2 linked regions of the Lepisosteus oculatus genome follow. The main gene of each other region encodes a partner of the protein of the gene in region 2 in a complex. Links are inferred from orthologs where the notes say so. Each region holds a gene or a part of one and is shown on either strand. Other genes may lie near its edges.

Region 1 (7,663 bases), on a different chromosome or scaffold from region 2:
GTACCAGTGCCTCATAAATTGCTCAATTGTTTGGTATTAAAATTGCACTGGCGTGTAAAGTGATCCCAAATACGATATAGCTAGAGGTACTGTTTTTTAACAAGTATGGCGTGCGAGTTATCTGTCCTGCGTTGAAAATACCTACTGTCAGACAAGCACTTCTTCCTGTCTTCATCAAGGTAATAGCCCGTGGCACAGGAACACGTGACTTTGTCATCTACCACTTTGCAGAAGTGTTGGCAGCCCCCGTTGTTGTTTTCACAAAGCTTTGGAATCTCTGGGTGGGGGTCAGAAAAGATCACAGATCAGGGTCAGACTCCAGAATGATTAATGGTTCAGAGTTTATAATATGGTGTACTTGCCCACCTACCGATTTCACAGTTCTTCCCTTGAAAGGTAGTTTCACAGAGACAGCTGTAAGCTCCAATGCCATCCTTACATTTCCCACGATTGAGGCAGGGCTGAGATGTACAGGCATCGCCGTCTGGGGGAAAGGGGTTTGTGAGTTCTGAGATGATGACACGTGTGTGTGTGTATGTGTGTGTGTGTGTGTGTGTGTAGACTGACACAGGCAATGTGAAAACAACTGCTGGTTGGAAACAAGAAGCTGATTCCACGGAATGGTAGTGTCTTTTAACCCTCATCAATATGGTCCTTGGAAAATGACAAGGACTCTTAATTATTGCACAACACATTGTCCCCCATCAAGTCAGCAAGTTCTTTACGAAGAAAAATACTTTCACTCTTCCTTGCTGAATATCACAAGTTGATTCTACTGATGTACCTAAATTGCCTTGAGGGTCTGCTGTCTGGACTGAATCTGAGTGTACAGTATTACTGGTTCCACACAGAGGATCACACTCTGCTAATTTACACTTCAGATTCTCATTCTCCTCCTGGTTGTACACCTCTCTGACCTTCTGCCATTGTGCTCTCTCAGCCCTGTGGCACCATTTGATTTTATTCTGACTGGTCTTTGCAGGGCCATACAGGAAGCCATGTATTTCATTTCGTGTTTACTTTCTCTGTTGTTGTCTTCCTTCTTCCAAAGCGGAGGTACAGAGGAGGTTGCTAGCTGTCATAGCTGAGAGATTAGCCAACATCCACTGCAAAGCCTGGTATCTACTAAGGATATCCAGGTCAGTGAGGTCTAGGTGCATATCTCCATCCGTATGAGTCTGCAGCTGGACTCACTGAGCTTTAGCCTTTATTTGCTTTATTTTGCATTCAGAGGTTGAGACCGCCTTAAGACGGAATTCTTCACCACAGAATGTTTCAGTGCATTTTTTAGTTTATCACCTTCTGCGTACTGTATGCTGTATATATTTGTTTGGGACAGGTCTTTAGTATATTTATTTTTGGAGCAAATGCATAATAAAAATCTCACAGAATTCAGAATTCTGAAGGAGTTACCCCTTCCAGGCTCTCCTTGAACGAGCACATTCCTGTCTAAACTGCCCTCAAGCCCAGCAGCGGTTTGATTAAGAGACAGCCTGTCCAGAGAATCTGAGGAATGGAGCCCCTGTTTAGATCATCAATCATCTACCAACACAAGGCAGAGAGGGAAATGAAGAGGCCCAGTTTTAGTCGCATTTCCTTCTCTTACAAACCTTGGGGAGAACAAGGATGAGAATGATAAAATCCAATGGATATACTGGTTTTACTTAATTTTTAGAAACAACTTTAAATGATTTAGTACCATTGTGTGTTTAAAGAAGAAAAAACATTTCCTCCAATACGCTTTCCTACAATATATTGTTAATTCTCAGAAATGTCTGGCATTTGCTTATCTTTCTTTGATATATACATTTAAAATAACATGCAATACATACAAAAAAAACCCAACATAAACAAATAAGAGATTACTATTTTTAAAGGGTGGGTACACCAGTCTGTATACAGTACTGCATGTACACAGCGACAGAATGCCACTGATTCTCACTATTTTCACTCAATTAAAATGCAATATTTTAACATCCGCTAACTCACATAACGAATCAAGAGAGAAATATGAACCGCCCCACTTATTTACCAAGTTCAGGTGTGAGATCATAAACTACCACATACCACAGCCCCGGAGATTCACATGTGACTGACGGTCTGTGTTCATTTCATCCACCTTGCCTGTGACCCGATGTATTTCAATATTTTATTTTTTTAAAATAAAGCTTATGACACACACACACACATGTTCATATCTGGGGTTCTTACCAAAATACACGTTCCAAAATTCATCCTAGGAAAAAAGAAAAAAAAACCGTGTCACACGTACAGTACAGTAGGAAGAAAGCCCATCTTCTACCAGTTTATGGTGGCATTAATCAAGTGACAACCGTTCAAGCGGCCCTTTTCGCCCGTGTTGCGGTGGGGAGATGGCACAGAACTGTACTTGCCGTTCTTTCGGTGTTTTCAAACACTTCCCTCGCCTCCTCGTAGCTGCAGCGCTCTTCGTGACATTCTCTCTCGATGTTGCCCTGCCGAAACTCTTCGAAGGGAGTGTTCGCCCGGCGGCTCCTGCTGAAGACCTGGCTTGCCCTCGCTTTGTCCACAAACACTGAAAACACAGGCTATGTCCATTTACTATACTTTGATATTTCCCCTTTTCAGTCGAAAAAAGAAAACACTAGCCGTGGCAGTTAGGCACACTTCTTTGGCACACAGCCTACAATTGTATTTAGGTTTCAAATATTGATAAATACCTCTAGCATGGCTCACCTCAAACTACTTCTTTAAATATTTCCCCCCAAATGTCATCCCAGACTATAGTTACAAACTGTGAGCTGGGTTCTTCTACTAAGGTTCGTTTTTTTTTTTAAATAAAAAAAAACATCCGAGGGAAAAAAAAACCGGCTGAACAAAATGAATTTTAACAAAGAAAAATAACCGATCTTGACACAGTATAACGAAAGTCAACATACCCTCGGCTCCTACCGATGCCTGCGCCGCGAAGAAAAGGCAGATCTGCAAAAGCCGAGCCATTGCAGTTTAGCTAGGAATCGAGCCCTCCAGATTGAAGGCAGATGGCAGCAAAAAGTTCAAAGATCAGCATGACAGGGGAAACGAGAGAGGCCTAAAAACAGTGAAAACGCACAGGTCTCCACGTCAGGACCTATGATTTTGTTTTCGCCTACCAACGAAAGGAACACAGTGGGTCTGATTGCGCCATCGCTAACTCTTCTCGTTCTGCTTATCTGTGACCAGTACTGTATCTCGCAAAGAGGACTGTCCTGTTCCTCTGCAGGACAAGGTTAGCAGCTTTAGTTCTTACACCATGACATGCCGTTTCGTTGTCAAACTCTGCTGTCATTAGCGTTTATGTCGTGCTCGTTCATCTGATGTACAGTACTTTGCAGACAAACCTAGACCTACAGTTACAATGTCAATTTTTCTTCTTTTTGTTGGATTCCTGCAGTCTGTGTAAGCGGTTTAAAGATAGACGAACTGAGCTGGGCAAGCTCTTTTCTTTTGAAATCAAATGTGTGCCTAAAAGCACACACACACAAAAAAACACGATTTTTACTTCAGGGTTTTTTTCTTTCCTTTATGATATCCTAGTCTATTGGATTTCTAAAAAAAGAGTATTTGTAATAAAAAAAAATGTTGACCACATTGTACAAATACTGTATTAAATAGATGGAATAAACAAAACATACTGTACCAAAGCTACAGAGCAGCAAAAAATACTTTGGAAACATTTTCTGAATTCAGAATAGTTTTGAATGGTTTTAGTTTAATGGTTTTAATGGTTTCAGTGGTGATAAATTAAATTTCAGTTAAATTTTACTGTTCATGCTTGATTTCTTAATTGTGTGGGACTGTAGTTAGAAATGATGTTGTCAACAAATATGGACTGTCAAAAGTTCAATGCTACCACACACTTTAAACTAGGGGAACATTAAGGTTTTATGAATTCCCTTGAAAAACCCTTTGGAGATGCGCACATTTTAGAGCAACTGCAAAAAGTTGACTGTCCAAACTCCGAGTCAGCCACAGTGCAATAACAGTTGTGTTTGTTCTGTGAGGGTCAGCGATCTCCTGTCAGTTAATCTCAGCTTCATGGAAAAGATCGTGTTTTCAGATGTTGCTCACGGGAACAAGGAGATGTTAATGCCACACTGAAAAGCAAAAAGAAGGAAGAAACAACACAGTGTTTCAGCTGTGGAGCCTTCCTCTCACATCTTGGGGCCTTTTTTCTTTCTGCTTTCCAGTGTGGAATGAGCCTCTGCTGCTTCCTTTGTACCCCACAACGCTGATGAAGCCTCCCAGTTAAAAACCTTTTCGTAAAAGTGGTATGACAACAGGGAAAAACGCAAATCAAGAAATCCAGCAACACTGTGTTTTGAGGCCCTGGGCCTACCAAGTGAGCTCAGGACTCTTCTGTCCCTGCCTTCCTGTCTCGTGTTGCCATCGTATGGTGGGAAGCTGCTGAGATGTTTCCAGGAGATTCTTCCTCCCTGACAGGCAGTAGTTTCCCAAAGCCTCCTGTCAATGTTTCACTTCCTCCTCCTGGCCTTGACGTGTTTCCTCTGCCTTCAGTATGTAACGTATCTGAGACAGATAAAGGCCTTGCTTTGGGAGTTGGATATTTAGATGAGATAGCTGCTGTGACGAAGTGGATGTCCTCTGTTACATCACCCAGATTTGTGTTGTATCAGCTTGAAAAAGACGCACGGCCTTCTGGCTGTATTTGAAAGATCTTTCAAGACAACTGCTTTTGAAACGGATTTGATTTCTTCTCTGTGTTGTGGTAACTCGGCAGCCAAACTGCCAGAAGGCAACGACACGAAACTGGCTGCATCTGTCAACACTGTGGGCCCATAAAAAGACCTACAAACAAGGCCTGTCTATTCAGACCGTCACAACCTGCTTAACAGTGAAACGCAAAATCTCAGGGTGCAATTGGGTGCAATCATTTTGAAAGGTAGTTATGCCAGCCAACTGGGAAGACAGAAGACAGTTTTGAGCAGACCAGAGAAACAAGTTTGAGAGAATCAGGAGTTTTCCACTGTTATCTGTGGGAGGTGTGACCTCTTACGGACTAACATCAAGGAATGGAAGGTATAATAACTCTCTAACGTCCTCGAAATAGGGACATTTTATGTCCAGATTTCCCCTGCTATGCAACCATTGAAGGGAGGTCTATTACAGTTGTCTATGTCTCAGCTCCATGGAACACGACAGGAATCACAACTGACAGGCCTTGTTGTGAGAAATGTTCTCCATGGTGCAAGAAAGGCTTAATGAATTCTAGAGTCTTCCTGTGAATCTGAATTTGCCAGGGCTGGAGAGGGTCTTTATCTTCTGAGTGACGTAAGGGCCAGTCCCATTCTCTTGTAAACCTCAGTGAAGATCCTCTTGGTCCTTTTGAAAGTCTGAAGCCACCTTAAGAGGAGTGGAAAGTGCTTTTCAGCATGTGGAAGGAGACAACCCAGATGGCTTCTTGCACATCTATTCTCTGATGGATGAAAAGGTGAAAATTCTCTCTATCATTCTCCAGGTTCAAAGCTGACTGATTGTTGTGAAGTGAAGCTGAGACCAGTGTCTACTACTGTACATGAGTGTCTTCATTAAGATGTTCTTCTAAATGTTCCAATGACTGCTAAGAACTTCTTTCTCCTTGATCAAATCTCGTGTCTTCTTAAGTCTCATTGAGATTGGTATTTGCATTCTTGGACACTAGATGGTTTTGATGACACTGAAAGTGCTGAGCATATTGTGGATATTGGAGAGATACTTGATCTTTGTTAACATGTCTTTCCACTGTCTGTTTTTATAGATCTTCCTTTCAAAGCTTGCCTTGTCTTATCATGGTTTAGTTTGCTTGGAGTTGATGTCATTCTACCAAACACAGAAGGCCTTGAACTTGAACATCAACAGGAGGTTGATGAACCTGCAGATCTACCATTAAACCCATTGTTTCCCGAGAGAGGATTTGATTGTGACTTTGCAGGTCTTGATGATAGTGGATTTGAGGGGACCAAGCACTGCTGATGTTTTCCTAGTGTTACTGGCTAGTATTTACTAAGCCCTCATTGAGTGTTTGAAGAGATTTTGTTTTATTCGGTCCTTGTGTCTTTGTTAAGTCAGTGGTCCATTCAGCAGCAACAAATGTTGTCATGAGCAATATATTGGAAAATCAGTGCTTCCTATCCCAGCAGTACTTCAGCAGTATAAGCAGCAACATAGGAACGTAAACAAAGCTAGAACTGACAAGAGACCCTTTCACCCATCTTGCTCATTTGCTTGGTAGAAGTCTTTGTATTCAGGATCTGAGTCGATACAAAATGTTCATTATTGCCTATCGACACGGCCAGTGGTTTAGTATTGTAACACAACAGGGATTCAGGCGGGCGCCCATGCCGCATTAGGTCAGCCCCCCACCATCAGGGGCTTGACCCCAGGACTCCCATGTCACTCAGCAGGGACCCAGCCTGGTGAGCCAAAGAGAGATCTCTCCACAGCCCAGGGGCTGTGGTCCTGCTATCACAGGGAAGGGCGGCAACGTCAACGCTCTGGTAAGCCGGCTCTTACACACCCTGATGGCCGTATGCGTTACAGTATTTTATCCATGGCCTGGAGCACAATACTCTGGGATATGTTCAGGGTGGGAGCCCTGTGACATTGCATGGGACAGGAATGCCTCTGTTAATTGCTACATTACCAAGACATCGAGAGATTAATTGTCTCTGCACGTTTCACTTTTCAGCTGAAACGTCAGAGGCCTGAGCATTTGCTACAGGATTGACGATCATGGTGATCAGTGAAGAGTGTACAGTGTCTAGCAGGAAGGCATGGAGCGCCTGTGCAAATAATTTGACTGCAATGTCCTTAAATTCTGAACCAATATTAAATTACTCACTCACCAGTGTGAGGGGAAACTATACTTGCACTTTGAAATACTAACATTAACGGGACCAGAGGGATGGTTAAGTTTGTTCAGAAATAAAGTTATCCATGTTTTTTTTTTCCTTTTTAGCACCTTGGCAACAATGTCTACATTTGGCTTACCAGTGCAGACTAAGATAAGAGATCACTTTATTGGCCCTATATAGTTTCTTGTATTAGGAATTTGTCTTTTCACATACCCCAGCTTGCTCTCCATGAGACACACAGACAGGGAGAAAAGTTTGGGGTCAGAGCACAGGGTCAGCCATTTATACAGTGCCCCTAGAGCAGCTGGGGTGAAGGGCCTTGCTCAGGAGCCCAACAGAGTAGGATTCCTCTGCCAGCCACAGGATTTGAACCAGCAACTCTCCAGCCACAGGGGCAGATCCTGAGCCACAGAGCCACTGCACCACTCCGGACTATAGTCAAGGGGGTGTGCTAATTCAGAACACTCTCATGTTCCATTCATCCCTTGGTCTGACAAGAGGAAGTGACAGCCTCCCTTAAGCAACACAGAATAAGTGAATGAGTTCTTACAGTCCTTTATAGAGTCACAGCAATTATGACGGAGTAACAGGTATGATTGTCTGTCTGTGATAGAGCTGGGAAATAGGCCAGTTTGGCGAGCTTTTAAGGAATACATACTGTACAGTAGATGTCACTTCCACCCTGAAAAGTAGAAAGAAAGAGCGAAGCACACAACTTTACTTCTTCAAATACTTGAATATATGGAATTATTGCATTGTCTGCAACAGGCCTCTGGAGGAAATGTGAGGGG
Region 2 (7,715 bases):
CACAAAGACTGTATTGGATTTATTGCTTTTAAGACATGCAAACAAGTCACTTTTGTTGTTAAAATATTTATTTTTGAGAAATGCTACAACAATATTAAGAAATTTGGTTATTTGGATTTTTCAACCAATAGAAACAACACACATTTTAATTTCGATGTATTTGCTGGCTCTATGCCCTTATGACACTCAAGATGACTTGGGCCTGAAAGAACAGCATTCTCTATTTCCTCAACCAGTTTTTTTAAACCATCTTTAGGTATAAAAATATATAAATTGTACCATTTATATGTAGAGTGCAGAAGATTAAAACTCATCAATTGAAGTCGTTTTTTTTTGTTCAATCGAAGGGGATACAGGTAAGCTCAGTGCTGTGAGAGACATAACTTACTTTGAAATTGAGGGGCATGAGTTTGGCACCATAGACCACTTCACTGATGTTCTGGTAGGTCTGGTTAAAGGCCAAAGATTTTTCCCCAAAGAGTCGGTTGGCAGAAACCAGTTCGGCAGTCGTGTCGGCTTTACGGTACAGTCTACAGTTAAGCTTGGCAAAGAAGAAGTGCACCTGGTCAGAGGTCTTCTCCTTGATGGAGTCAAACTGGAACACCTGCAAGAACGGAGCTGGAGTGAGTTTGAACCACAAAGCTGGAGAAAGTTACACACAGCATGGGTAATGGTATTCCCTTAATGATAGCAGGGAACAGAGATTCAAAAGGCACTGAACAAATGTAAATATAAAACTCCAAATGGTTATGCATATGTAAAAATAGCTATTTTCATACTAGGTCTAGAACATTAGGGTTCTATGCAATCAATCAATTGGAACTCTATTTTTGAGAAAACAAGAAAGCATGTTAAAATCTCACAGGAGGCAATGCTCCATTTGGGTTCAAACAGAATCCTCTTTTGTGCTGAATTGTATTAATCCTGTACACAGCTGATGGACAAATTAACAGAAACCATTATTCTGAATAGAAAAAAAACATTGCAGTCTGCAGTGTAAGTCTGTCTTCTTAAAAACATAGCAAACATCAGCAAGACATGTTACAAACATGGGGGAAGAACAAAATGTGGGAAGCTGCAAAATGACCACAAGAACGTACCTTGCTAAATGTTTGTAAATGAACGGCAATATAATTCTACACATCATACTAACTTTTGCCATCACCTCTCTTTTTTTTAGCTTGACAGGTACTTCTGCCATTAAAATGCAGGAACTGAACTCTGATGGAGATGCTGTGTATAAGATCCTGAGAGTCTGGAAGCCCCGATGCAGGAGCTTATGCCCCATTTCAGACACACACCTGCATGATCTCCGCAAGCGTCTTGTTGCAGGCGCCCAGCTTGGTCATTGCGAAGGCAGTGGAGATGCTGATTGGGGACATAAAGATATTGCTGGTAGCTGACTTGGAGTCAGCCATGTTTTTGTACAGGGCCAGGGCAAAGCGGCTGTTGGCCTTTGACAGCTCCCACACACGGGGATTGGTGAGTTCTGGGATCTTGTCTGGTTCTGCAGCTTCATCTCCTGCTGTGTCTTGGCTGCGGTAGATGCACATGGGCTCCAGTGGAAGGTCCTTGGGCTTTGCTGTGCAGATATCATCCACAGCCAGAACGCCACACAGGCACGTAGCCAAGACAGCCAAGAGCCTCATCCTGGGGGCAAAATGCACGTCAGGGCCCAGGTTGGGTCAGTCACTAAAGCAGATAGTCTATATGTTCATGCATGTCACGACCATCAAGACTAGGTACAGCAACATCTTGACACAGTCACAGTGAGTGTAGACAAAACCCCATTATCTAAAGGCTGTCACACCAGATACAACTTGTATTTATACCAGTTATAACATTTCTAAAGGGCAACACTGAATGTTTTCCATAGGAAACTCAGATTCCTTAACATAGAAAGAACTATTTCAACACTTTGCTACAACCTTTTATTGAAAGTGTTTTAACATACTGTCTCTCTGGTTCATTCAGCAACATCAGTGCTGTTAATAGTAATAGGTTGGGAAAAATGAAGAAGGTAATATCAAAATCATTGGGGTAAACCATCTAAATGCCCTCTACAAACTGACATAGATGTCTAAGAGCATTATGTAGAGTTGTGTGGCCCAACCTTTGCATGGTAAATTAACAGTACTCCCATCTGAGAGACACCTCTTGTTTCTGCAGGTATAATGGACTCAATACATCTTTCATCCACTCTGCAATCTCCCTCTCAAACAATGTAAAATAAGTTTCTGATCTCCTGAAACACTGTTGTTCTGAATTCTTTGCTTGTGATGCTTGTTTTTTCTGTTGTTGTTATTTTGGAGCATTCTTTGACATTACTTAGACATTGTAGAGCTCACATATCATTGTTTCCAATGAAACAACTTCTACAACTTTCTACAACTGGCCACCTCAGACTGGATCGAATGTCCACAACTTGAATTGAAAATCAGGAAGCAGATGTTACTCAAACAAAAGGGCTAAAAACTGAATGGATCAAGACTAGGAATTTCACCCTAGTGAAGAAACCCAGGAGTTTCTAGATAAAATTCCCCAGTGGCCTTAGCAATGATTAAGGAAAAAGAGACCTATGAAGGGCATTGCTATTGGACATTGTTTCTCAATAGAAAATATTTGTAAAAGACACCTATTGATTTCTGTCCATGTTATTTGCTGGTGTGCAAAAAAATGTTGGATTGCCCAATGTTGCCTGCGATTGCACAGTGCAGTGTATTCCAACGTCACTGAAATGTTCCACACCTTATTTCCAAGCTGGCAGAGGAAAAGCAGAATCAGATCAAAGGATCTACCTTACCTGTAGTGTTCATGTAATTTGAGGTTAATCAATGAAAGATCATATTTTGATGCAAAATATATGAAACAAAAAATATCAGAAATTGATATGCAGTTTAGAATTCCACAATCTACTTTATGTGTGAACATCTCAATTTCAATTAAAGTGATCTACAAGCCAACAACAGAAACAGAGCAATTTTAAACTGGCAATTTAAGGGGCCCCAGCTGATAAATTGAAGCATGACCAACATATTTAGCCAGGATTAAAAATATGAACACTGATTCAAGAAAGTGTTAGGTTAAACTGAAATAAGAAAACAAACTTTCTTAAGATAATTAGAATGCTGCCATTAAAAAATATTTTAATTAAATATAAGAATGGCTTTGTATAAAAACTTTTAAAAATTCAAGATTTGAAGAGCACAGAGACCCCATAGCATAATTGTTTAGTCCTAGAAGCAAAACGTAGAGGAACGTAGGGTTTCTGTTGAAAAAGGACTTTTGGTTACCTTATACAACTTTACTGAAAAATTCCACATATTTGCAGCAACACTTAAGATTTTAGGTTGCCCAAAGAAAAGCAGCAGTGAGATCCTACCTTACCTGTAGTGTCCGTCTTCCTTCAGTTAACAAGCCAAGCTGGAGCAGCAGTGAGACAGAATGTGGACGGGAGACCATAAACTCGATAAAACGCACTATGATGAACACAGCGAGGAGTTCACTGGCCGCCAGTGCAGAGACAATCAATCAGATCATCGTTTACACAGGATAACTGGTTTGGTTAATCTTTGAACTTTTGGGATTAAACACGGAGAAAAAAGATTTTTTGCATTACTAATGTGGTTCTTTAACATTGTGAAATGAGCAGCCTTGCCTTCTCACACATAGAAAATACACTCACAAATCCCGAAACACCTTCGGGAGCAACCAACCCAAGAATATTTTTCATCTGCCATTAAATTTCCATACTTTAAAGACAATTTAGCTCCTATTTCAATATCAACAGTTTGCTCACATACTAATAAAATTAGGGTGCTGCTGCGATCTACTTTTCTGCAGGGAAGTAGCAGTAAGAAGCAAGACGTTTACTGCTGCACTGTCCTTGGCATTACTGTGCTTGGCTGCGGTAATTAGTCTGTACCAGGGTTCACAGTTGAAATGATTAAAGCAACAACTGCACAGGTGTGGCCAGAGAAGCTGAATGCTGGGAAAATGGGGGTTTACTTCACAAAGTTTCAGGGGCAGCAGACCTGTGAGCGATCAGGTGTCTAATCTGTATAATTTAATCTCTAATAAATAAATCGATTCTTCTCAAGCTGTGTTTCTGGTGCATATTTATGTTCTCAGAATGACCCCATAAATTAAAGCTTGGCTGCTAAAGGAAAATCAGAGAAGTCTGGTTCTGGCATTCCTCTATTATCTCAGTGTTTTGCTAGGAATAAACAGTTTTAGATATATTAAAAACAGTACTGATCTAATGAATTTGCTTTTCAGCATGGAATAAACCTCTACTTGTTCACATGCAGCTTATGCATGCTGCACAGCTACCTAACAAACCTCTGTAAAGCATGGCACTTTATTAGCAAGACTGTGGAAGCCAACTATCCAACCCACTGAGCACAGAACATGAGGTTTCCGTTGTTCTATTTAAAAATCTAAATCCTGAGACAATCATTGGATATGTCCAAAAAGTTGAGCCAGAAGACATTCTTGGGAAGAGTTGGGTTATCCATTTTAGAAACCCTTAGCTCATGTTCAATGAAAAAATGGCATTCAGAAAGAGACTGACTGGTCGGAAACCGTGAAAACCCTTTAATTGAGCAATGTAAGAGGAGCTCAGTATCACTTGGATGTCAGTCACCAATGCTCTAGATCTAATACATTTAGAAGCTTTTGTAAAGTGATGCTTGGAATGGGGAGACTGAAGAGTACAGATCCCTCCTAAAAATGTATACAACATCAGAACATTAATCCCACATTTAGCTTCAGAAGGTCTGCAATCTAGACCCAAATATTAAGGGCTGAAACTGGCACTCCCTGGGTCTGCAGTCTTAGCGAACATTTCATGTAGCATCACATTACAACAAATGGCAATGTTGTGCATCACACGTGATAACATCCCAAATAATATGAGGAAGCTAAGGTGAATTCCTCTATTTGGCAGTGTGACCCATGGCTAGCGCAGTCAGCACAAGCCTGAGTAATCTGTGCCATTTCCTTACAAAAGCAGGGTGCTATCTGTGTGGAGTTATGTTCTCCCCACGTTTGCATTGGTTTCCTCCCATGGAAAGTTCAAAGACATCCAAGTAGGTCAAACAGCTTTTGCGAAAACTGGTCCTGGTGTAAGTGTGTGTATATGCATGCCTTGCGATGGCTAGCATCCAATCCAGGAAGTATTCTTTCTTGTATCCATTGCTTGCTGGGATAGGGCTCTGGCTCCCCCACAACCCTATATTGGATTAAATGGTTAGAAAATGGATGGTATTGGCTTCAACAACATGGCATCTTGTTCTAAACACCCACCACCATTTTTTAAGACAATGGACTCGACTTTTGTTTTTCTATGCGCCCCCTGGTTCGCATTTCATTGTTGTAGTGCATCCCTTTTCTATCAAACTGAATGCAGGAGTATTAAACCCATCGATGCAGAGAATTCCTGTAAGGTTAGTAATGTTCATAACCCAAGTGTTATTACTCTATTCCCGGAAAGAACCACTTCAGCAGATATCATAGGCCACCATTAAATACTTAAGACTTGGAACATCTTCATTGTAAGTTCTCTTACTTGAACACATGACTTGCTGAATTTATCAACAGCTTTAAGGTGATCCCAATCTTTAGTTTAGGTAGCTTATAAGACTTAACAGATTTGAGGTTCTCTTTAATGATAGGAGTCCCTTTACCTAATAACTCTTAACTTCCCCTACTCATTTTAGCACAACTGAAAAAAAAAAACAGATCTGCAATTTTAAGATCTGCTACTGCCTTTAACAATTCTGAAGCTTTGTCATTCATGAAGCAGTTTCTGACCATGCAAATCCCTCCATGAAAATCTGCCTGAAACAGCACAGTGCACAATGGGACTATCAACACTTTCTCTCAGGATCACTATAATACCATGTGGAATTTAATACTGAACTCCATGGCACCAGACAGATGTCTGCCTGACAAGCAGCTCACCAGTCTGCCAGTGTACGTGTTGTTCCAAATATGAACCCGTACCAGTTAAATCCCCGATTGCTCAAATGGATAGTCTTAAAAGAGAAAGGAAAAAATGTTGTGTGGTAGCATGCAGAGGTTTATCATTGGAAATGAATGCAAATGAGACAGAAGATTTACAATATTATTTAATCACAGTCCCTGCCAGTAAAGAATCACTGTTGCACATAAGTTACATTAATTTCACAGGTTTTTTTTGTTTTTTCTTCTTCAAACTTCCAGTTACTCCCTCCTGACTCAAGGAAAAAAGAAGCGGATTGTATTATACAAAAATGCAAACCAATTTTCACACAGTGAATTCTTTTTATATGAAGAAAAAAGTATAACAGCTACATCCATATTGGAGAAAGATAATTCTAAACATTCCTTAATGGAGTATAATATAAAAACAAACAATTTTTGAAGTTAAACTTGTACCTTAATTTAAGCAATCTATTACAAGACAATTTGGGAGTAATCATCGAAAGCAATTACGTTCCCAATGTTAGGAATAAAATCAAAACAATGCAGCAAGAGCAGCCCAGTCTTGTTACAATAAATGCAGTTTGTATGGAGGCAGGGGAACATTCCTGGTGCCCCTCAAGAGTGCTGCCAGTGCTCCATTTGGGAGGCAAATTTCACTCAAGACCCTGTCACTATGTTTCAAACTACAAGCTGAGTAACTGTTGTGTTGCTAAGAGCTGTCATCTCCCCAAACTGAACAGAACACACTGTACTACTGATACAGTGACCAACACAGATCTTACAAAGATCAAAAAAAAAAATAACCCATCACTTTTCAAGGACCAAGAGACCGGCAATGCTTTCATAGCAAAATAAGTGGTCAAATACAGCTAGAATCAATGCTTCCTCTTTTATTTTTCCCTTCTAGAATACACTGGTAAAGTTTTATCTACCTCACATCAAAAACAGTAACAGCAGTGTGACAGGTCTCAGATCTCTGTTAGAACCAACAACAGTAAATATTTAGTCTAAAATGGAAACGTATTTGAAATTGCAAAACCATTGGAGTTACAAAATGTGTTTTCCTTCCTGCTTTCCAGTGTCTCCCAATTTGAGCAAAAACAGACACTCTATACGAAGCTCTCAGTCAGGGACTTGGGGGTAAAGACAAACTTGTTGTACTGTCATCAGTTAAGGAATCCAGTTGCAAACTGACGGCAAAAGGTAAACAGTAAATGCTCCACTATATACCTACCCTGATTTCCCTTCGTTTTCTAGAGTGTGAAGGGGTAGATGAGGATATGCTGAATGAAAAGAAAAATGGCCATTATAGCTACAAAGTAAAATGAACAATTCTATAATTTTTTAAGAATCTGGGTTAAAGAATAATACCTAGTCACAAGAAGAGGAGAAATATGGCTGCACTATTATTCTGTTGTCCTATGGTGACTTGTAACCTTTCAGGCCATACAGTGAGAAGGCAACGTGACAGCCTGTCAAATACAGCACACTGTACTTTCTGAGCTTGAAATAAGGTTTGGTTTATTCTTTGTCTAGATTTGCCTAAATGTTTTGAAAGGTGAGCTGGATTTTCATTCTATTTCTGCCAATTGTCAATACTGTTTACCCAATGCATGCATTTTTATCATTTCAGCATGAAGTTTAAACAATCAAAACTAAACAATGTAAAAGACAATGTGTATGTTTTTACCCACAAACCCACCCCTGAGTGAACTGCAAGCTTGGTGAAAACACACAAACATGTCCTC

The links. Proteins that work in one complex are often made in the same cells at the same time.
Region 1: the proteins of serpinc1 (region 2) and f10 are in contact, whole or in part, in a crystal structure (PDB 2GD4), measured with the Homo sapiens proteins. The link is inferred for Lepisosteus oculatus from reciprocal best matches to the Homo sapiens genes SERPINC1 and F10. Residues at the interface, in NP_000479.1 of Homo sapiens: Asn265, Thr266, Arg267, Glu269, Met283, Met284, Tyr285, Glu287, Tyr292, Arg294, Val349, Val420, Val421, Ile422, Ala423, Gly424, Arg425, Ser426, Leu427, Asn428, Pro429, Asn430, Arg431, Thr433; in NP_000495.1 of Homo sapiens: Asn254, Glu256, Glu258, Gly259, Phe260, Cys261, His276, Cys277, Gln280, Ala281, Lys282, Thr318, Tyr319, Arg366, Lys370, Gly371, Arg372, Gln373, Phe396, Asp413, Ala414, Cys415, Gln416, Gly417, Asp418, Val437, Ser438, Trp439, Gly440, Gly442.

Annotation. Positions count from the first base shown.
Region 1 is NC_090710.1:28,697,361-28,705,023, reverse strand, and holds the start of f10 (coagulation factor X), read right to left. Parts: upstream 3,200-7,663; 5' UTR 2,980-3,199; coding exon 2,919-2,979; intron 2,555-2,918; coding exon 2,394-2,554; intron 2,237-2,393; coding exon 2,212-2,236; intron 485-2,211; coding exon 371-484; intron 278-370; coding exon 146-277; intron 1-145. UniProt on the Homo sapiens protein: Factor Xa is a vitamin K-dependent glycoprotein that converts prothrombin to thrombin in the presence of factor Va, calcium and phospholipid during blood clotting.
Region 2 is NC_090704.1:19,398,342-19,406,056, reverse strand, and holds the start of serpinc1 (antithrombin-III), read right to left. Parts: upstream 3,509-7,715; 5' UTR 3,463-3,508; coding exon 3,383-3,462; intron 1,651-3,382; coding exon 1,302-1,650; intron 605-1,301; coding exon 389-604; intron 1-388. UniProt on the Homo sapiens protein: Most important serine protease inhibitor in plasma that regulates the blood coagulation cascade. AT-III inhibits thrombin, matriptase-3/TMPRSS7, as well as factors IXa, Xa and XIa. Its inhibitory activity is greatly enhanced in the presence of heparin.